Linked DNA regions of Lonchura striata. The protein of the gene in region 1 interacts with the protein of each later gene in a pairwise test. Links are inferred from orthologs where the notes say so. Each region holds a gene or a part of one and is shown in the gene's direction. Other genes may lie near its edges. The genes, in order: NCKIPSD, PSMD9 and STAC.

Region 1 (6,967 bases):
TTAATTCTGTCTGGCTATTGGGTTGGTGGCAGATAAAGTGGCATTGTCCTGAGCCACTTGTTTCCACAGCACGGCATTGGAGCCTGCAGAGCTGCCCCGGCAGGGAGAGATGGGAAAGAGCAGTGCCGGCCCACGGAGTACGTGGGTTGGCAAGGGGCTCCTCAGGTCTGGACATGAGCAGAGTTTAACAAAGAACAGGGAGCTGTTGTGTGAAGCCAAAGAGCTTGTTTTCCTGAAGAGAAGCTACAGAGCACGCAAGGCTGTATGCTGCTCGCCTTGTAACCTGCAGCGCCTCAATCCTTCCCACAGCATCCCCCGGCCCCCCCTCCACCATCCCTCAACTCTCTCGACCTTCTGTCTTCTTCTGTTTCTAGGAAGTGCAGCTGTTGGCAGGCACTGGCTGCTCCTTCCTCCGGCCACAGGAGGGGTCTGGGCCCCAGCCAGCCCCAGCTTTGTGCAGGACTCGTTGCGCAAGGAGCCCTGCGGGCACCTCGGCCCGGCAGGCAGGAGGAACAGAGCGGTCCCAGAGCCACCCACTACCCCGGCAGCTTCAGCTTCTCCACATGTTGTGCTCCATGGGGAAGCGGCCATCAAAAGAGCAGCTCCTCGCGGGTGTTTTCGGGTTCAGCACGGATCACTGTGTTCCTTGCAAGAGGCAGGAGCAGGGCTTGCTCTTGCCCAGCAGAGGACCCGTCCCAGCTTGCTGGCAGGCAGCACAGGTTTGGGGGATTCTCCCATAAGGGAGCTGATGTAGTCGGAGAGGTGAGATCTTCTGGAAGTGATACTGATGTATGCAATTGGAGGGTCCTATCTACAGCCTTTTAGCCAGGTTTTCCAGGAGGTAGGGCCATCAGGACTCCGGGAAATAAGGACATGCCTGGCCATCCTGGCCTTGGACATCCCCAGCCCCTGCAGGGCACACTGAAGACATTGTCCCTGGAGCTTTGGGCCTGGGGTCCTCACAACACCTCACATCCCTATGACTTTTCACCCAGAGAAAGCTGGTGGGAATGCAACAATATTTGTATACCTAAAAGTGGAGTGATTGATCCCACTGCTGTTTTGCAACGTGTTGACGAGCAGACGGTGCAGAATTATATAAGTGTATGTGGAGCTGGCAAGTTTGTGTTCCAATCATATGAATGCTGTTGTGCAACACTTCCCCTCCACAGCTCTGGAGGAAAACAGGAGTGTGGGGGCTGCCACGCATGCACTGAGCCCTTCACAGCTTACAGTGACCCAAGTCCCCCAAGGCTCTGAGGGCAAGGGATGCGAGTATTATTTTCCTGAGGTCTCAAGTTCAGCTTTAAAAATCATCTGCAAGTGACGCAGCAGGATCCTTGTTCGTTGCCCCTCCCTGCCCAATATAATCACCTGGCACTTGCAATTCAGAGCTGATTCCTCAGCAGCAGGAATTTGTCCTGGGCTCTGCATTCTACTCAGATGCAGAAGAAGGGGCCTTTTACAGAGGAAATCCTTCCCAGTTGCTGTCTGGGAGAGCTGGGATGCTGTGCTGAGCACAGGAGGAGACTGGGGTGCTGCTGCTGTGCACGTGGGAGGTGGTTGGTGGGTGCCTGCATCCCCCTCAGCTGCCTCTGCCTGCCAGCACAGCCTGTGCTGCTGACTTCGTGGAAACAAAGCGCCGTTATTCCAGCACAAACAGCTGGGCTTGTGCCAAGGGATGGCCAGGGCTCACCTGGAGTGGGGACACAGTGGCAGGGGGAACACTGCAGCCAAACTGGGCAGGGGACGGGCAAGCAGAGAATCCTGTTCGCATGGGATATGGATGGCTCCACAAGTGGGAATGTTTTCTTTCCTGCAGTGGTGATCCCAGCTGCCCAGCCCTTGCCCACTGTCACGCTTTCCCTGCTGGGCACCTGGAAGGGACTATGACCAGGCAGGAAGTCCAGACCTGAAGGGCTCCTGAAGGATTCAGCCCCAGTTACATCTCACAGTTCTCAGCTAAAGCACCCCACTGTTTTTTCAGCCTGAGTGTGCCCAACTTCAGCTACCGCAGTGATTCCCGGTACCCGCCGCAGTGGGGGAGTCTAGGCAACCGCTCACTCCCACTCCATCCTCCATCCCTGCGTAACCAGGAACAGAATGAATTACCTCACTGCCAGTGCTGGGAAAAGTGAGGGCCTGGGTGGGCTGTGCTGGGAGCAGGCAGGGGGTTGTGGCTGCTGCAAGCCTGGTTTTTATTGTATTACCACTGGTTGGATTGGGTTGTGAATGGTTTCTCAATGAGTTAAACCCCCCTGTAACTGTGAGCGAGGATCTGTGGACTGTTCCATCTCTGCATCCCTGCATCCCAGCAGGATGGCAGAGGTGGGCAGGATGGATGAGGGATATCTTTGTGGTGGGCTTGGGTGCTGTAACCAGGTCCCCACCCACCCAGCTCCTAGGCTGTCTGTGCTGGCTTTGTCAGGTGGAAAATTTGTCTTGTTCCTAGGACAGCATGGAGAAAACCCTGCCTGGGGAAGAGGGAGAGGGAACCATGCCCTGCAGGGCTGCCACCCACTTCCCTGGGACAGTGAGAAGGGCTCAGATCCCCAGGCAGCAGGGATCAAGGGAAGCTGCTGATATCTTGGGGAGGTGGGGTGGCTTGCAGGGGTCTTGGGCTACTTGGAGTAGTGTCCAAAAGGGTTGTTCTCCTGGAATGGGGCAAAGAGATGAATGGGACTGGGGGCTGCTGTGTCTTCATGGAGAGCTCCAGGCCTGATGGGCTGTGCCATGGCCATGTGCCAGGTCACTGTGTCCACTGCAGGTCAGAGCCAGCCCTGGTCGTGCCCCGATCCATGCTAGGGGAGTGCTGGGGAACGGGACCGGGCCAGGGGAGCTCGCTGGGGGAAGCCCTCGTGGCACCCAGGGTGGGGCTGGTGGGCACACAAGGGCTTCAGGGACTCAGTGGCACCGGGTGCTGCAGTACGGCATTCCGAGAGGAGAGGTGCTCAGGGACACTCGCCACGACGGGCAGATTCAGTGGGGAAGCGATGTGCCCGTGGCCAGCTGGGCTACGGTGGGGGACAGAGGGGCCGGGCGGCGGTGGGCGATGGGCGGTAGGCGGGAGCAGCGACCCCAGGGGCCGGCAGTAACCCAGGCACGGTGTGACCGAGGAGGGACACAAACGGGCCGGTGCCGGGGAAGCGCCCGGCCTAATGGATGCTGTGAACGGCCCCTCGGGGTCCGTGCCGGGGTCAGGCCCGGGGGTCAGGCCCGGGGGCAGTGCCCGGGTTCCGTGGGTCTGTCCCGTGGCATCGGCCCGTGAGTCAGTTCTGGGGGTCAGTCTCCGGTGCAGGTGCCCGGGTCGGTACCCGGGTCAGTGCCGTGTCAGTCCGGGTCGGTGCCTGGGTCGGTGCCTGGTCGATGCTGGGGTCGGTGGCCGGGTCGGTGCCGGGATCAGTGCCGGTGTCGGTGTCGGGTCGGTGTCAGGGTCGGTGCCGGTACCGGGATCGGTGCCGGCGCCGGTGCCGGTGTCGGTGCCGGGTCGGTGTCAGGGTCGGTGCCGGTACCGGGATCGGTGCCGGTGCCGGTGCCGGTACCGGGGTCAGTGCCGGTGTCGGTGCCGGTACCGGGATCGGTGCCGGTGCCGGTGCCGGTACCGGGGTCAGTGCCGGTGCCGGTACCGGGATCGGTGCCGGTGTCGGTGCCGGTGTCGGTGCCGGTGTCGGTGCCGGTACGGGGATCGGGGTCGGTGCCGGTGTCGGTGCCGGGGTCAGTGCCGGTGCCGGTACCGGGATCGGTGCCGGTGTCGGTGCCGGTGTCGCTGCCGCCCTAGGGGCGCTGCGCGAGCCGTTGGCGCCCCCTGGCGGCGCAGCGGGCGGCTCGGGGCGGGCGCGCGGGGCGGGGGCAGTGGCGCCGCCGGGCCGCCAGGGGGCGGTGCCGCGCGGGGGGCGGCGCGGCGGCGGCGTGTGGGCGGGGCGGGCGGGGGCGGGCCCGGTCCGGTCCGGTCCGGCGGGCGAGGTGCCGGTGCTGCCGGTGCCGGTGCCGCCGCCATGTACCGGGCCCTGTACAGCTTCCGCTCGGCCGAGCCCAACTCGCTGCCCTTCGCTGCCGGAGAGACCTTCCTGCTGCTGGAGCGCAGCAACCAGCACTGGTGGCTCGTCACCCGCGCCGGCTCTGGCGAGACGGGCTACGCGCCGGCCTCCTACCTCCAGCGGCTGCAGGTGGGCCGGGCCGGGCCGGGCCGGGCCGGGCCGGGCCGGGCGGGGGCGGCTCTGCCGGAGCTCCCGGGGCGGGCGGCGCTGCCCTGGCCCCTGGCGGCAGCGGGGCTTTCCCGGCTGTCCCAGGCTCGGAGCAGCCCAGCCCCAGCCGCTCGCGTCCCTCGCGGGTCTGCCCCGGGAGCCGCCGGCCCGGCTGGGGAAACGGGTGTGCGACTTCTGTGGCTGCCCCCGCAGGGTCTGCGGCAGGCGGGAGCAGTCTGGGACACTGTGGGATGGGAATCCCGTGGTGGCAGGAGGCAGGATTCATCTCCTGTGGTGTCAGGCTTGGGGAGCGCCAGCCCTGCGGGGCAGGGACAAAGTGAGATCTCAGCAGGCTCATCCGGAGGAAGGGGGCTGGGTACGGATCTCCGGGGCCTGAAAGTCTGGCGGGCTGTTCACGCCTGCAGAACTGGGAGAGGAAGCTAGGAGAATCCCTGGGAGATGCTGAGGGGGATTCTCCTCCCAGGAGTAAACATGATTACAGGTAAACTGGAATCTCCCGGCCAGCAGCCGTGGTTGGTGTAAGTTAGTGCACTCCCCATCTCCGTGCTGGCTGCTCAGCCTGGGGGCTCCGTGTGTCTGGCACCCTGACACTGCGAGGATAGTGAGGGGTGATTGTCCTCCTTCCACTAACACACCACGACACCCACAGCACACCCCTGCTGTCCTGGGGGCCAGGAGAAGCCATGGCAGCTGCCTGCCATGGCAGCACTTACAGCCAAGTTGATGATACCGGGAATTACCCAAGGTCCAAGCACCTGCTGTGGCCCTAACTGGGGTCAGAGGATGGAGTACACCGTTTGCTGCTGGGGTGTAAGCACTGTGCCATGCAAGTGTCATGGGAAAGAGATTGCATGTAACTTGTACCGTGCAAGGGCTGCTTAGTGGAGGAAAGTGTGGCTTCTATAATTAAAACGGGTATTTCATATAGAACTAATTCATGGGGGCTTTTGTACTTTTGGGCCACGGGATAGCTGTGGGACCTGGATGCTGAAGACTTTGCATCAGTGAATGGGTAACTGCACAGAAATGCATGTGAATGTTACAAAGGAGCCTTTTGGCATCTGTCTGAAAATGGTGACAACCCTCTTTATTTTAGTGTGCTGCTGCTGCTCCTTCAGATGCCATTGAATTTCTGATTAGCAGAAACTCAGGCTGTAAGTAAGTGTGGGTGTGGGCTTTGCAGAACACTCCAGTGAGAAAGCTTTAACAGGAGAGTGTGTATGTGTGTCAGGGCAACACCAGGTCATTTGATGGCCACTTGGTCCATTCGTCCTGTGAAGCCAGGGCTCTTCTGCAGCCTGGCAGGATGGCCTGATGGAAGGGGACATCTTGTGAATCAATAAGCCTTTAATAAGCTCTGTACAGGAGCTATTTAGTTACAGAGCAAAGACCTTATTAACTGCTAGATGTTAAAGCCCCACAGTGGCATAGCTCCAGGTTGCTGCTCATGAGTTTCCTCTCTGCAGTCTCTTGCTTCATTTGCTTGTGTGGCATGACGTCTTCTCGCTGCTGTGGGTGCAGGAGCCTTCTCCTAGGCTGCTCACTCATACCAGTTTTTCTTGCAGGTACCTTGCTAGTATACATCTCAAAATCTTACAGGAAAAGTATTTATTCTATGACTTTACATTAATTTCTAACATCATATTTTGCTACAGCCTCAACACAGCTTGCAGTCTGCCAGGCTAACTCCTGACATGTTAGTAATGCACTGGTATTAAAGCAGCATTGTTGGGGACTTTGTGGGCATTTCCTCTACTTCAACTCTAACTTTCCCAGATGCCTTTAGACCTTGTTGCGGGAAACAGAGTCTTCCCTGCATCTGCTGATCTGTGTTTTGGCCATTAAATTTCCAGCACCTGAATTTGTTGATGATGTGTGAAGCAGCAGGATCTAATTTGCTGCTCTGCAGATGCAGTCATCCTGCGTGTCTGTGACTGACTTTCTGTTGTTGCATCTTGCCAGCTCTGAAGAGCTGATGTGAAGTTAAAACATGTGTTTATTCATGGCAGAAAGCATCTGCTCACTGAGAGTGTGCTTGAGACTGTTTGCTCAATGTCCAGGAGGAGTGCAAACATTTTGTCACCCAGTTTTGCTTAAATAAGGACACAGAGACCAATTAGTGACAGCGGTTTGGGAGGTAATTAATGCTGCCCCAATCACAGGAGGGAAAAACACCGTTAATGATTGGTGTTAGCAGGGAGAGAGCGTGGCCAACAGGAGTCACCATTGTAAAGGTAAGCTTGGCCTTCCTCAGCAGTGCAGTTAGGTTCCAGGTGAGCAGTAGGGTGGGGAACAGTCAGAGCCCCTCACAGCAACCTGCTGAGAGGATGCTCACGAGGGAGGCTGCTCTTGCTGCTCTGCACTATTAGGAATATTAGTTTTCTTCAGAGCTCCTCTTGCATTTCAGGGTTTTTTTTTTCTCCTCAGCTTTCATGGATATGGGATTGATGTTTTGGCTTCTCTACAAGAAAAAATAATTCCCAGTTATTTTTTAATGCTTATTTTTGCAGGTTTTTTAATTGAAATCCTTCTGGCTCAGTATTGTTGTTAAAGGAGAGTTAGTTGGAGGGGAAAGGAAAGTTCCACCAACAAATCCTCCTTAGAATGCCCCTAAGTAACAAGCTTGGGCCCAGCCAGAGCACCAGAAGGTACAGATGATGTGAAGTTAATTTGAGTCGATTAGAAACGCCCAACTTCAGCTGATATTCCTGCTGATTTTACTCTTCTGTAGTTCCCTTTTAGCTCCTGTTTGGGTTATTAAG
Region 2 (7,089 bases), on another chromosome or scaffold:
TGGAGGGCCCTCCCAGGTGCAGCCAGCTCCATGGCCCTGCCCTGCCCTGCCACTCACCGTCTGGATCACTGCAAACTTCACCTTCCCAAATTTGTCCTGCTCCACCCACGGCTCCTTCACCACCACGGCGCCGCGCTCCTTGGCTTTCTGGGCAGAAGGAGAGAGATCCCGTCCTGCCACAGCTCCCCTGGGCCGGGGAGGACATCCCAAGGCCCTCCCTGCCTCCCCTCACCGTTCTGGGGGGCTGTGTGGGAGGTGGTGGAGGGGCTGCCCACCTGCACGATGAAGTCACAGTCCTCCACTTCGAAGGCGACGTCCTTCACCCCGTCCCCGTGCTTCACCAGGTGCTCCCCCATCTCTGCCCCGAGCAGGAACAGCCACAGGCATGAGCAGAACTGCTTTGTTCTGCCATGGCCATTTTCTACTCCATCCCCCCCAGTGACACCTACCCTCATTCCCTGGGTTCAGAGCAGATGAGAAAACAAACACGATCTGTCGAGGAAGAGGAGGAGAGGTGAGGATGGAGCCACAGGTGATGGTTTTCATGGTGGGTTTGGCAGCACCCTCATGTCTGATGCACCTCACCTTTCCCTGCCCTGGCAGTGGCACCTCTGTCAGGGCTCCCTTACCTTGTCCTGCTTGATGACATGTGACACCACCTCCCTGCTGCCGGTCTCCAGCCCCCGGTAGGCCAGCTCCTCAAACCCCAGCTTGTTGCAGTAGTAGGATGCAGCCTGTGGGCAGGAAAGAGTCCCTCTGGTTGAAGCTGAGGTGCTGGTGGCCCACAGGCCATGGAGATCAGCCACCATGGCAGGTGCAAGTCACACTTGCCCTGTGTGTGTGTGAGAACAGGCAGCATCTTCGCCTCCTCCCACAGCCCAGGGGCAACAAACAGAGGCAAGAAAGGTCTGGGATTGAGGAAGAAGTCCAAATTCAGTGGGAAGTGCTGCCTCCAGAACTTTTTGTGAGGGATGCCATGGAGCAGGAGACATTTCTGCGTGTCCCCTTCTGCCAGGTTGGGTGAAAAGCAGCTCGGGTGTGAAGCAGAGAGGTGTTTAAGTTGCCCAGGGCAAGGGATGGAAATCAGCTGCCATGAGCCCATGGTTCACGTCCCACGCCCCCGGCAGCCGCCCCTGCCTTGCGCAAGGGCCACCAAGGCCACCGGCGCCAGGCCAGGGCTGGGCTTTGGGACAGCGGCACAGCCCAGGGGCTGCCGGGATGGACCAACGCCCCCCGGGCAGCCAATGCCTGCAGCGCCCGGCCTGTCCCACCTGGGAGGTGTCCCCTGGCACTGCTGTCCCCTGGCACTGCTGTCCTGTGGCACTGCTGTCCTGTGGCACTGCTGTCCCCAGGCACTGCTGTCCTGTGGCACCGCTGTCCCCTGGCACTGCTGTCCCCTGGCACTGCTGTCCTGTGGCACTGCTGTCCCCTGGCACCGCTGCCCCCAGGCACCGCTGCCCCCAGGCACTGCTGTCCCCTGGCACTGCTGTCCCCTGGCACTGCTGTCCTGTGGCACTGCTGTCCTGTGGCACTGCTGTCCCCTGGCACTGCTGTCCTGTGGCACTGCTGTCCCCTGGCACCGCTGTCCCCTGGCACCGCTGTCCCCAGGCACTGCTGCCCCCAGGCACTGCTGTCCTGTGGCACCGCTGTCCCCAGGCACTGCTGTCCCCAGGCACCGCTGTCCCCAGGCACTGCTGTCCCCTGGCACCGTGGTCCCCTTGCACTGTGCCCGGCGGCCGCAGCCTCTCACCTGCTTGGCATTGCCGACCCAGAAGGTGATGGAGTGGAAATGGATGAAGCGGCCTCGTTGGGGCTAAAAGGGAGGGAAAATGGGGCTGAAAGCTGCTGCTGCATTTCCTGCAGCACTGCTCGGCTCCAGAGCAGGGGAAAGCAGCAGCTGGGACCCTGAAATGCATCTCCTGCAAATGAATCTGAAATAACTGGGTGGAACGGCCCCCAGATGGTGATTTTCCAAAGTGCTTTACAGTCAAGCCCTACAGGATCCTGCACCACAGGTTGGAAGGTGCAAAACATCGATTCACCTTTGCCCACAGCCACAATTCCAGTTCTCCCAGTGCTCCCCGCAAGTGGCCATCCCAGCGAGCTGCCCACCTGCAAACCTCGCTGTGTTAAAGATTAATTCTTCCACAAAAGCTCTTACACAACCACCAGCACCAGGACAGATCCCTCTTTGCTCTGTTCCCCACCACTGCCCAACCTGGCACAGGCCACTCTGCAGTGGACACACTTTAAAAGTGAAAAAAGAGGCAAAAAAGTGCAGCATTTGAAAATAAATGTTGCATGGAACAAGGATTCTGCTTAAGGCTAAGTTTGACTGGGAAATACCCATCATCTCCTGTTCATCACTCTCCTCCCAAAGCAGAAATTTCAGTTATTAATACTAATTTACAACGAGGATCTTGTGTGACCCAGCCAGAGCAGTTTTACTTCTGATTTCAACAGGTAAACAAGGAATTGATACAATCTGCAGTAACATGACCCATGTTTCACACCAGGCAGAAGGGCAGGACAGGGACACAACTCTTACCTTTTCTCCCTTGTCTGTGTAGGACGTCTGAAAGAAAATGAGAAAAGAGAGAAATTAGAGGGACAGGCAAGTACAGCGGCCCCAGGGAGCTGAATTTAAAGGTCAGGCTGTGAGGAGCAGCTCTGGTGTGCCACTTCCAGCATAGTCACTGGAAAATCCGAATTCAAGCAGAGCTTAAATCTCCCAAGGCATCCTGTGCCATAGAGCCCCAGTTGTCTGAATTAATTCCCATCTGCTGCCCCTCACCATTTTTGTGACCTGGCAATGTGACACAAGCAAAGAGAGTGCAAGAACGGGGGGGCTTTCAATATAAGGGGATGGGGAGGCTCCTCCTCGGCCCCACCTTCCCCCACCACCAACCCAGGGATGTGTTTGGTTTTGGCTGGGAACTGCCCAAAGGGGGGTGGCGGGCGGCTGTCACTGGGGCCGTGGCACGGGTCCCTGCACCCTGGCGGTGGCACTGCGGGGTGAAACGTGCAGGGTGCCGAGGGCACGGGAGGCTCTGCGGAGGGCTGGCACCAAATCCCTGCCCCGTGCGTGTCACAGTCACGGGGGGCGGGGGGGTGACGCGATTTGGGCAGCGCATCCCCCGGCCCGCCCGCTGCCCCTGGGGACATTCACCCCTCCCTGCGGACATGTCATCCTGGGCAGCCTGCCCACCGCTGGGGGTGTGGTGGTGTCTGGGCACGGGGCCACGCGGTGCCACCTTCAGCCCCGGTGAGCTCAGCGCTGCAGGGACCCCAAAATGTGGGACAGCAGGGGGAGGGGACAAGAGATGGCCCCGCAGGGGAGATACCAGAGCACAAATTCCACCTGGCTGGGAGTGGTGGGATGTCGCAGCCACCAGCAAGGCCAGAGGATGAGCACAGGGGGCTTGGGTGGGTGCCAGTGGCACTGAGGACAGGGCTGGGGGTCTCGTGGCGGGGCTGTCCCCTGTTGCCACACTCCCTGGGACATGGATGCCATGCAGCACCGGGCAAATGTGCTGTGCCACAGACTGGAGAGGGGCCAGCAGCAGGGACAGGGACATCGTTTACCACGGCTGTGTCACGCGGTGGTGGTGACACCGCTGCGCTACTACATGTCACCATCAAAGCTGTGTAACTCACTGATGGTGACACTGCTGTGCCACCACGTGTCACCATCAGAGCCACCCCATGGCACCAGCACAGCAGCGTGACCCGGTGACGGCGACACCGCTGGGCCACCCCGTGCCGGCGGTGCCGCCGCTGTGTCGGTGCTGTGTCGGTGCTGTGTCGGTGCTGTGTCGGTGCTGTGTCACCGCCGTGTCACCCCGGTAGTGCCGCCGCTGTGTCGGTGCTGTGTCGGTGCTGTGTCACCCCGGTAGTGCCGCCGCTGTGTCGGTGCTGTGTCACCCCGGTAGCGCCGCCGCTGTGTCGGTGCTGTGTCGGTGCTGTGTCGGTGCTGTGTCACCGCCGTGCCACCCCGGTAGCGCCGCCGCTCCGCCGCCCCGCTCCGTCCCGCTGGCCCCGCCCCGGCCCCGCCCCGCGCCCGTCCCGGCTCCCGTCCGGCCGCGGCCATGGCGGAGCCCGGCGAGGGCCGCCCCGTCACCGTCAGCGATGTCCAGCAGCTGGTGCGGCGCAAGGACGAGGTCGAGGCGCAGATCAAGGCGTGCTACGAGCTGCTGGAGGGGGTCGGTGCCCGGGCAGGGCCGGGCCGGGCCGGGGGGCGCCGTGCGGGCCCGGCCCCCTCCCAACCGCCGCCTCTCCCCTCGCAGCAAAAGGGCGTCGGGATGCACGAGCCGCTGGTGGACGCCGAGGGCTTCCCCCGCTCGGACATCGACCTGTACCAAGTGCGCACCGCCCGGCACAACATCATCTGTGAGCGGGGAACGGGGGCCGGGCACCGGGCGGGGGGCTCGTCCCGGGGCCGCGCCGCCGTGCCGCGGGATGAGCCGGGAAACCGGGATGAGCGGGGCAAAGGCTGTGCCCGGGGACCGGCAGCGCGCAGCTCCCTGAAACCCCGTGTCGCTCGTTCCTCGGAACCGGGCCCAGCGCTGCGCTGAGCCTGCTCCCCGGGGGATCTGCTCAGTGCTCCGAGCTGCCGCCCGGGCTGAGTCAGGAAAATGCTTTTGTCCACGTGTTGCTGAAATTCTGCCACTGCTGCGGAGCCATTTGGGGTCTGTGAAGCACCACAAGGTTTTTCTGTGCTGTTTGTAGAATAAAATTTGGGTAGGAAATAGCTTGGCGTTTATTTCATCCCAGGCTTTTCCAGTGCCCTGACTTTCAGGATGGGTACGTATGTAACAGCAGGTGACTTAATGGAAAGAAGATTTAAGCTGCTCACCGAGTTCTAGGGGATCAAGGGCCTCCCAGCATGTTTACCAAAATTCTCGTAGGGTGGTTTTCTCTGTGTCAGACTTTTACTGATAAACATCTGCCGGGCTGGCACCAGGCCCCAGCAGATAGAGCAGAGCTTCTTGCTGAGATCAGAGACAGCCAAGGCACTGCTCTGTGTGGCTGACACCCCTTTGGGGGACGCCTTTCCACTCCCTGTGCGCTCATGGTGTCACCCACAGGTTTGCAGAACGATCACAAGGCCCTGATGAAGCAGGTGGAGGAAGCTCTGCACAAGCTGCACGCCCGGGAGAAGGAGAAACACGCCAAGGATGAGGCAGAGGCCTTGGCCGAGGCCATGAGCCAGAAGCAGAGCCTGCCCCAGGCCTTTGCCAAAGTGAACACCGTGACCCCGGGCTCTCCTGCCAGTGTCTCAGTATGTTGGGCACAGCTCGTGGGGAAGGCTTTGTCTGGAGCCAGACAGCTCATGGCTCCCTCCCCCATAAGTGGGAATAAGCTGGGGGCTTGATTAGGGTGTCACCCCCTTTTTTTAATCGTGTTGGGATGTCCTGTGAAGGGGTTGGTCGCTGTACAGGGATGAGATGGGTGTTCTCTGAGCTGTATCCTGGCACCACACAGTTCCTTCCAGGCCTCACTGACCATTCCAGCCTCAGAATTTCTCTTCCCATGAAACAGAACAGAGGAATGAACACTTGCCTCTCCCTGTGGCTGTAGTGATGTTCACTTGCCCGAGTGTGAGAAGTGTTGTAGCACATCTCTCTCCCTGTGGCTGGGTGAAGGGTGGTGCTCCTGTGATACCACCTGTCTTTAGAGAATGCAGATGCTCATCTATCTCTGTCCAGGGACTTCAAGTTGATGACGAGATTGTGGAGTTTGGATCTGTCAATGCAAACAACTTCCAGAACCTGCAGAACATTGCCACGGTGGTGCAGCACAGCGAGGGGGTGAGCTCATTCCTGCTGTGACTGCATTCTCTTGCCTGTCTCTGTTAGCCACAGCTTTTTCTATGGAACTTGAATCTCTGGAATCATCATTTCCATGTCAGAAACAGTGTCAGATTCAGTCTGTGCAGTTGTTGCCTTGTTCTTTCCCAGCACTATTTGCTCATGAATGGAAGAGCTGAGAGGTGTGTGCTCTTTGTTCTCCCCGGGGACTCCCTGCAGCAGCTTTGCTGTGCCACCCTCGTGGCCTGGCCAGAGAAGCTGCCACAACCATTAAGTGCTTGGTGGTGGAACTGGGGGATCTCCTGGAGATGACCTCACACAAAGCACTCTCTTCTTTCAGTTATAGCCACAGGAGTGGGAATGGGCACTGCTGCAGAACAGTTCCTCGGGCTTAATGTTCTTCATGTGCTTCAGGCAAAAGGAGGAAGAGAGTTGACTTTATGATGGAAAAGTGAAATATTTTGGTTATTTTTCTATTTTTACCTCTCTTTCAGAGACCCCTGAGTGTGACTGTGATCCGTGGTGGCAGAAGGGTGCACGTGGGGCTGACTCCAAAGCGCTGGTCTGGGAAGGGCCTCCTGGGGTGAGCTACTGTTTCATTGCTGGAGGGAAGAGGCTTTCACCAGCTCAGGGCATGTTTCCTGAGCAGGGCCAGCCCTGGCTGTGTCACTGCCCACTGTGACAGACCTCACAGGTGGGCACCAGGGAGCTGGATTTGCTGGTTCTGCACAGGGATACAGGGAGTCAAGTTTCATCAAACATGAGCCCAGGCAGAAAGGTCTCAGTGGCTGGTTTGTCTGGTAGAGGAAACCAGTGGAAGAGGGTTGTGGAGGGTCTGAGCCATCCCACGTCAGGTCTTCTGTGCCTGTTTGAGAAATGAAAATTTAATATTTCCTCCTACCCTCTTCTTTTTCAGCTGCAATATCGTTCCTTTACAAAGATGACCGTGACTGGGAGAACAATAAAGCTGAAGCTTGTGCCTGTTTTCTGGACTCTGATCTGGTTTGAAAACTTCCTACGTGGTGTTGCTGTGACCTCTGGTGCCTGAAGGGTTCTGGCAGAGTTCTGCAGTTCAGAATTGCACTGGTTGTCAGGAGGAACCTGCAGAGCTGCAAGATGTGGCTTCTCATCTCTTCCACCTTGTATCAGTTTAGAATAAGGCTCTAGAGAGACCCAAATCTCACTTGATACACACTCTGAAGAGCTTGAAATGCTCTTTTTTGGTGATAACAGAGCATTCCTTTTTTCTCCCCTTTAAAACTCCTTGCTAAATATCATG
Region 3 (7,165 bases), on another chromosome or scaffold:
AGAGGTTCCAGGTTCTTTTCCTGCTTAAGTACAAGCACAAATCTGTTGGTTTGGCTTCTTCCACAGTTACTCATTTGCTACACTCCCTGGAGCAGTGGGAGGCTTAATACTTTGCCTCTAAAAATTACTTTGAGATTATTTAGTCAAAATGCAGGCCACCAGTGTTCCATTAGTACCAGGAATGCTTTCAGAGCATTGACCAGCTTTTGCTTCCAGCTTGATGAGTTGATGATTGTGGCCCTGAGATGGCATTTAGATATGCAGAATCCACAGGGATTTGTTGGTATGTTAGCTGCTCAATGAACTGCCAAGATCGTATAGTAAGCAAACGAGGGGAGGGTGATTATTGTTAAAAATGGGACCACACTCCCAGTACTGAAAGTGATTTCAGCATTTATTATAATAAAAAGGTCTAAAGCGTGGGGGCTCGCAGTCCAAGCAGGAGAGTTCCCATCGAGGATGCTGCAGAGCCAGCGCTGGGTCTTCCTGAGCAGCAATGTCACCAAAGTTCCAGGTGGAGCAGCACAAATTCACTGGGTCAGATGCCCTTTTTATCCTGTTTTTTGTCCCTCTGGATTGGTTCCTGTTTGAATCCATTCATTTGCATGAAGGTTTAAAGCACCTGATTGGCCCATTACAGTTCTGTCCAGGCTGACTCCTTTTGTCTGGGTTTTGATGCACTTTTACTTAGGTGTAATACAGCACGTTGAGTACCGTATTTCTTATAACTACTCTTTTAACCCCTTTACAATAGAATAACTAAACCAAAAGTACATGCTTAACAATTATCAACTATTTTACACCAGTTTCTAGACTATTTTTAACAATTATAAATAAAACCCCCAGCCACGGGATACTATTTTAATCTTGTTTTCTCTGTGGGTACAATGTCTGCTGCAGAGAAGAGCCCACTAGCCTGTCACTTGGAAGAACAGAGAGATACTCAGCAATGGTCTTTGCAGTCTAGTAGCCAGATGTGGGTGAAACAGATGTTTGAGAGAAGAGTCCAGTGAAGATATCAACCACCATTTCCGGCCAAAAGCACCATGCCAAAAGTAAAATTCTCATCACAGATGGCACAAGGCATCCTCTTGTCATTTTCCACAATGACATATATTTGACAAAGAAACAGAACTACTTCTCACCTGGAATACTCAAGAAAGAGAACTATTTCTTACCTGGAATGCTCATAAATTGGCCTGAGGGACTTAGGGTGAGGCTGATCAAGTTTCACTGCAAGTGCTACTAGGACAACATTTTAATTTTTGTCTGATAGTTTCTGCAGCTCTTAGTCTGCATCCTCTTGGAGGCTGGATTCTGTGAACTTGATTCTGCTCTCTTTCAAGAGTCTTCTTTAGAGGAATCCAGACTGCAGCAACCAGACTGATTCCTCACTGCTTTGTAAACTTCTAGAGAGTGGTACATAGTAATTTAAACCAACACCATCTACAAGCAATATCATCTCTATGAGCTCCCTTAGACCCTCTGTTCAGAAGCATTGAATGGTTCATGCAGCAAGTTCTGAATACTCCCTTTCCTTTTTCCTTGTTATTTTTTTCTCTACTAACATGGAAGTATAAACAAAATCAAAATATTTGGTAAGTACTGATTTCTTGTCATTCCTTTAGTGAAATATAGCACTGTGCATGTATATCATTGGCAGAGAGGTGGTAAAATATTTCAAAGGAATGTCCATAACAAAAAAGCAAAAAAAGGGATGCAAAAACCATGCTATAGGCCATATCTCACCAGCTTAATCTCGCCACTTTGAAGGTCTCCAGCATGTAGGACTTGGCAGCACAGCAAGTGTGTATATATTCCAGGAGTCAGGAGCTTCAGGGATGCTCTTATCAGTCTGGCTTCAGCCAGAGCTTAGGAAGAACTACAGCCCAGTGAGGAGGGCTGTGCCACACCACATCCTGTCCTCTTTGTGTGTGGGACCAGAGAGGGGGAGTGAAGAAGGGCAGACAAGCCATGGCACCCATGCAGCCAACATCAGACCAGGGCACCCATGCAGCCAGCATCAGACCACCAGCAGAGGAATACTTGGCAGGGCCTCCAGGCAACACACAACAGCCTTTACACAGCCGAACAACTCCAGCTGGGGGCTGGGAATTGGTGCTCATGTTTTATTCATCCAAATTGCTTTTCCCCACTCTAGAAATCTACACTCTCTACGCTACAGAAGCTGTTCAACTTCCTCTTGTTTAGCACTGTGCTGCACTACTCCCATTTCCTCTGAGCTCCTTTAGGTAGAGTCTGATCAGCAGTAATCACAAGTCCAGCTTCTCTGGAGTGAAGCGTGGGTGAGAGACGTAAGTTCCTCTAGCTTGATCAGTCTGTTTTGCTATACTATATATTAGATCTTCGATAGCCAGCTCCCATGGAAGGAAATGAAAATGTAACAAATCCAGTTTCTTTTCCTTTTTGCTTTTTTGGTAAAATTTTATGCTTGACTCATCTTTCCCAAGCTAATTGTCAAGAAACTGACAAATCCATCGTGGTTGACAAGTGAGTAATTGGGGGAAGAGAAGGAGTGTAGCAGGTGTTAGTACTAATTTGGTAAAACAATTAAAGTAAAGAGTGGTATGATAGTCACTTACACAGTCATGACGTTACAAGCTCTTCATACAAAATGTGTGCAGGATTTTACAACACTTAGAGAATTAACTATTAACCAGCCACTCCCCAACCATTTCAAAGGTAACCTCCAAGTTCACCATAAGATGTTTTTGAACCTCTTAACAGGAAAGAGTCAATCACAACACTTGTGGGGAACCAGACTGAATATAGTTTTATGATTCTCACCTGTCAGGTTGCTGGGCACACAGAAGAGTCCTTGCGGGGGGCAGACCCCATGTGCTGGCCATGGCTTGGCTGTTCTAGGCTGGATCATCAGGGAAGGATGCTACTGCCAGAACTGGAGCATTCAATTGCGGTTGCCCTGCCAAGATCTCCGTTGCTCACAGCTGCCCTAATTCTCCAAAACTGTGGCTCTAACAAGTCACTGCTCATTGCTAAGAGGATGATTTTACAGCAAAGACCAAATCTTACTTGCTGAGTGAAGAAATTACCTTTGCACCTGGAGAATTTCTCCACCACTGAAGGGAATGGTCTAAGACACTGCTGCATTTCAGAAAGCAAGCCCTTGGAAATAAATTCTTCTTCTTTACCTGCCAAATCTGCCCCTCTGAGCTCTGTATTTCCTTTCTTCAATCTCAGTTGTTACTGCCACTGCCTCAAGAGCAAACAGTGTTCTCGTTTTGATCCCTGTAATCGTGTTAGTGTCTACAGGCCAAATAATAGGTTCTACTGGCAGACCCGTAAGACACTCTTTTGCTCTGAAGTAGCTGTACAAATAGCATTGCAGCATTTCATCTTTATTGTCTGCTAAGGATTTTGGTATTTTATATGCTCTGTTTCAAAAACATAAAGATCTTTTCCCCATCTAAGTTCTAGTCCTGAAGATTCACTGGGGATTCAAAGAGAAGCTGAATTTTTTCCTGGCTTCTGCATAGCTATTAAGAATACAGAGGCTGCAGGGCAATTTCTGCTCTTGCTTTCATCTGTATAACCCCTACTATACTGTAAACTTGCTTTCACTTTCATACATTGATTATTTGAGGTGAAGGAGGCCTTCAAGGCAGCTCCAAGTAGCAACTGTGTTTCTAAGGGATGGGGACAGAGGGGAATCTGGTATCCTCTCCCAGAGCTACAAGGTACTGAAGACCATCTCTGACTTAGATCTGACCAAATCACCTCCAAACACCTGTATACATCCACTAAACAACTATTCTTTTTCTTCTTAATTTCCAGTATGTAACTATGGCTATTAAAAACATATTTGGGTTGCTTTTTTCTGCTTTCTTTAAATGAAAGAAGTCATCTCCAGCAGCCACATGGAGTGGCACCCGCTCAGCAAGGCATATCTGGTGGGAAGCACATCCATTCAACCTTTTGCAATAGAGACCTCAGTTCAGCAGGGAAGAGAGCTGACAAGCACCTTTGCAGCAGATTTAAATCAGAGGCAGAACCTCGAGCAATATAAAGCAATCTGAGGCAGACAGCAAAGTCACGCTGACCTTCTGCCAGCAGTACTGCAGACCCAAGCGTGACTTCAGGTGCTGCATCTTCAGGAATGACAGCACTGGGGGAATCCAACAGGCTCTTCCCAATGGCTGCCTCTGTTCTGCTGCTGCCTGATGGAGTGTTATCACTATGACAACCTACAGGTATAGTATGTGCATGATAGTGAGAGCTCCAGATGACCCAGATTGCGTGTGTATGGCTCAGAGCTGGGCTTCCCTGCCTGGGAGGGGAGCAAGGAACACGTGGATCCACAGGTAACTCTCCCCTGACTCTGTCTTGTCGTTTGCTAGCAAGCTGGGGATGTGGGCAAGGTGGGAGCCTTAGAGACACTGAGTAGCTAGGATTTTAAATAATCTCTGGGACAAGGAAAAAAGAGTCATTTTTCCTCTTCTTCAGTAAAAGACATGAAAGAATATGAGGGTACCCTTCAACTCTGTCTTTGCTAGTGTGTTAAAAAGGTAAAATGCTTCTAAACGTCGTAGTCACTGCCTGCCTGTGTGTGTGTGTGTGTGTGTGCATGCACGCGTTACTTTCTTTCACTACTATGACAGCACATGCTCCTCCAGAGCTATTCACAGCATTAGAAATACAACTCCTCCCTCCAGTGCCGTGTGTGTGTCTGTGTGTGTGTGTGTGTGTGTGTGTGTGTGTGTGTGCATGTGTGCGTGGCTTGGGCTTGCTGCTTCAGCTCACTCCCCTCTGACTGTGGGGCTGGCGGTCACGACACCGCTCCGCACTTCCAGGCTTCATATGGAGGGGAGGAGTATCGTGGAAAAGCAGGCACACGAGTGACCTACAGAACCATCGATAACTTACTCCCTCGCAGCACAATCGCATAGGAAAGGGGAGGGGAGGAAGGAGGGGAAGGAGGAGGAGAAGGGGGGAGAAAAAAAGAAAATCCAGAGAATTCTACTCTGGCAAATACAGTGAAACCAAGCGGTCGGAGTTCATTTGCTCTAAAAGAGCAGAGAAGAAAGAGGACGTTACGTGAAAAAAATCAAGAACCATCTGTAGCCTTTTTTTTTCCCCTGATAGTAGCAGTGTTTTAGAGGTAAAATGATTCCTCCGAGCAGCACGGCTGAAGTCAGCGTGGACAGTGTGGAGAAAGAGAATGAAGCGGAGAGCACAGAGCAGCCCCCGTCTCCAGCATCAACTACCAGCCAGGAATCAAAGGTACTCAGAGAATGAGATTTTTTTTTTTTCCCTCTTTCTTTGTTTTGAAAAGAGATGTATTGCTTTGATTTTCATTTGGAGCCCTGTGCCAGGATCAGCGGCAGAGTGCAATGAGCCACCTCTGACTGCGGTGCCTGCTCCGACACTCCTGCTTCTTCTGAATTCTCTCTGTCACCTCAGGAGTCTGAGCTGGGGAAATACCTGCCTTCTGAGATGCTTGGGTTTGTGGATTTTTGCCTCTGTTTTCTTCTCCTTGTTATGGTAACATGCTGGGGTAGTGACGGGGCTCGGGGAGGGGATCGCTGTCAGTGGACGTTGTTAGCTATTTTCACACCAAGTATCAGATCACTTAAAGGGTTTTTGGAAAAAAATTCTTTTCCTCAAAGGTTCAGAGAAAATAATTCTGTCTGGGGGCTTGGGGTATTTCACTTGACTTTACTTCTCTGGCAGACTCATCAGTGAACTTTCACTGTTTAATGAGTCTGCTAAAACGGGAGATAAGTCACAGCTTTACAACAACGAACCTTATGTACACCACACAGAAAAGGATTTTTGTTTTCTTTTTGTGAGTTTTTCTGTGTGGTTCAGTTTACCTTATTGAAAATCAACTTTCAGCTCAAATGGCATGGCCTCTGAATTTTTAATTGACTTGCATGCGAAAAGTTTTTCTGACTGCCAGGGTGTAACTTGGAAGACAGAGGTAAAAGGTAGAGTAGTAACCTTACACAATGAAAGTTCCTTACAGCTGACTTGGATAATATGCTTTTACTGATGCTCTGTTACTTATGATTGATACCATGATAGCACCTGACAGATCTTTCTGTGAACTTCATACTGTGATGCTGTGTAAACTTGTAAAAATAGGGGGGTTCTTGTCACTAGGAGCTTACAGGTGGGTAAAGCCTCAGGAGGTGTGAGCAAAACAGCTGCTTGACAGGGAAGGTCTTGTGCTGGCCTGAGTTTAAAGGCAGTGGCTGCCTGAGTCTGATATAGAAAGACTGTTACATTATTCTGCAGTTACAGCTTTCCACTTTCCGGAGAGTGAGCTCAAATTATCTGTCTGTGTGGGTAGAGTTTTGATGTGGGCTTTGAGCTTCATTATTTTATATATTTATTTAGAAGCTATACTCCAAGGAGGAGAGCTGAGGTATTCCCTGTGTAATGCAACCTCTTTAAAAGAGCTTTTCCAGTAATAATAGCATACAATATTCACTACACACATTTAGCTCTACTGGAGTTTCCCTGGTTCATGGAAAATGAAAAGTAAATGGATTATTGGTATAAGCCTGGGCTCTAAAAGGACACGGTACCTAAATCCCACCCCCCTGAGTCCACTTCTCTGGAATTACTGAAGTGTTATATGGGCAGTGGAAAGCTTTGCCTGTAGTGAGGTCCCAAAAGTACCTGCAGCTTTCACTGCATTGCCAGCACCAGCTGCTCAAGTGTTCTGGGCTGTGCATGGGGCCTGGTGGGCTGTGTGCTCCCCGTGATCCCAGCTGTGATGCTCACCCTGTGCCAGAATGGCTAAGGAACTCCATGTGCCACTTGATAACAATGGTGCTTGAGGGATTTTCCTGCTGGGTCACGGAATGCTGTTCCCAAAAGAGACTGGCATGGATCCAAAACTCAAGAGAAAGTGAAGAGCTGCTCAGAGGGTTCCCCCTTGCTGTTTGTGCACCCGTGTGTTTCCAAGGATGACAACAGGAATTAGGCACATCTGGCCAGAGAACAAATAGGCTGCAAACTAGCTTATAATCAAACATTGTGATCATCAATTTTGTTCAGTCTTTTGAGCATTTGAAGCAATACACTGGAATAGGCAAAAGCTATGACAAAGCAGTTGATGCCATTACTTGGATAGAGATATTCTTAATAAATGAACAATCTGTGTATTCACATTTTA

The links.
Region 2: the proteins of NCKIPSD (region 1) and PSMD9 interact in binary tests that used the Homo sapiens proteins (3 or more experiments, as listed by UniProt). The two-hybrid records come from large-scale screens. The link is inferred for Lonchura striata from reciprocal best matches to the Homo sapiens genes NCKIPSD and PSMD9.
Region 3: the proteins of NCKIPSD (region 1) and STAC interact in binary tests that used the Homo sapiens proteins (3 or more experiments, as listed by UniProt). The link is inferred for Lonchura striata from reciprocal best matches to the Homo sapiens genes NCKIPSD and STAC.

The regions. Positions count from the first base shown.
Region 1 is NC_134614.1:12,596,551-12,603,517, forward strand, and holds the start of NCKIPSD (NCK-interacting protein with SH3 domain), read left to right. Parts: upstream 1-3,917; 5' UTR 3,918-3,995; coding exon 3,996-4,166; intron 4,167-6,967. UniProt on the Homo sapiens protein: Has an important role in stress fiber formation induced by active diaphanous protein homolog 1 (DRF1). Induces microspike formation, in vivo. In vitro, stimulates N-WASP-induced ARP2/3 complex activation in the absence of CDC42.
Region 2 is NC_134620.1:12,307,733-12,314,821, reverse strand, and holds the start of PSMD9 (26S proteasome non-ATPase regulatory subunit 9), read left to right. Parts: upstream 1-4,065; 5' UTR 4,066-4,088; coding exon 4,089-4,202; intron 4,203-4,286; coding exon 4,287-4,389; intron 4,390-5,087; coding exon 5,088-5,281; intron 5,282-5,708; coding exon 5,709-5,810; intron 5,811-6,304; coding exon 6,305-6,393; intron 6,394-6,726; coding exon 6,727-6,754; 3' UTR 6,755-7,089. Other genes in the region: HPD (4-hydroxyphenylpyruvate dioxygenase), read right to left, coding at 58-147, 276-358, 450-492, 630-734, 1,751-1,813, 2,549-2,575, 2,795-2,797. UniProt on the Homo sapiens protein: Acts as a chaperone during the assembly of the 26S proteasome, specifically of the base subcomplex of the PA700/19S regulatory complex (RC).
Region 3 is NC_134603.1:108,979,999-108,987,163, forward strand, and holds the start of STAC (SH3 and cysteine-rich domain-containing protein), read left to right. Parts: upstream 1-4,142; 5' UTR 4,143-4,232; intron 4,233-5,124; 5' UTR 5,125-5,145; coding exon 5,146-5,262; intron 5,263-5,291; exon of another isoform or gene 5,292-5,483; intron 5,484-7,165. UniProt on the Homo sapiens protein: Promotes expression of the ion channel CACNA1H at the cell membrane, and thereby contributes to the regulation of channel activity.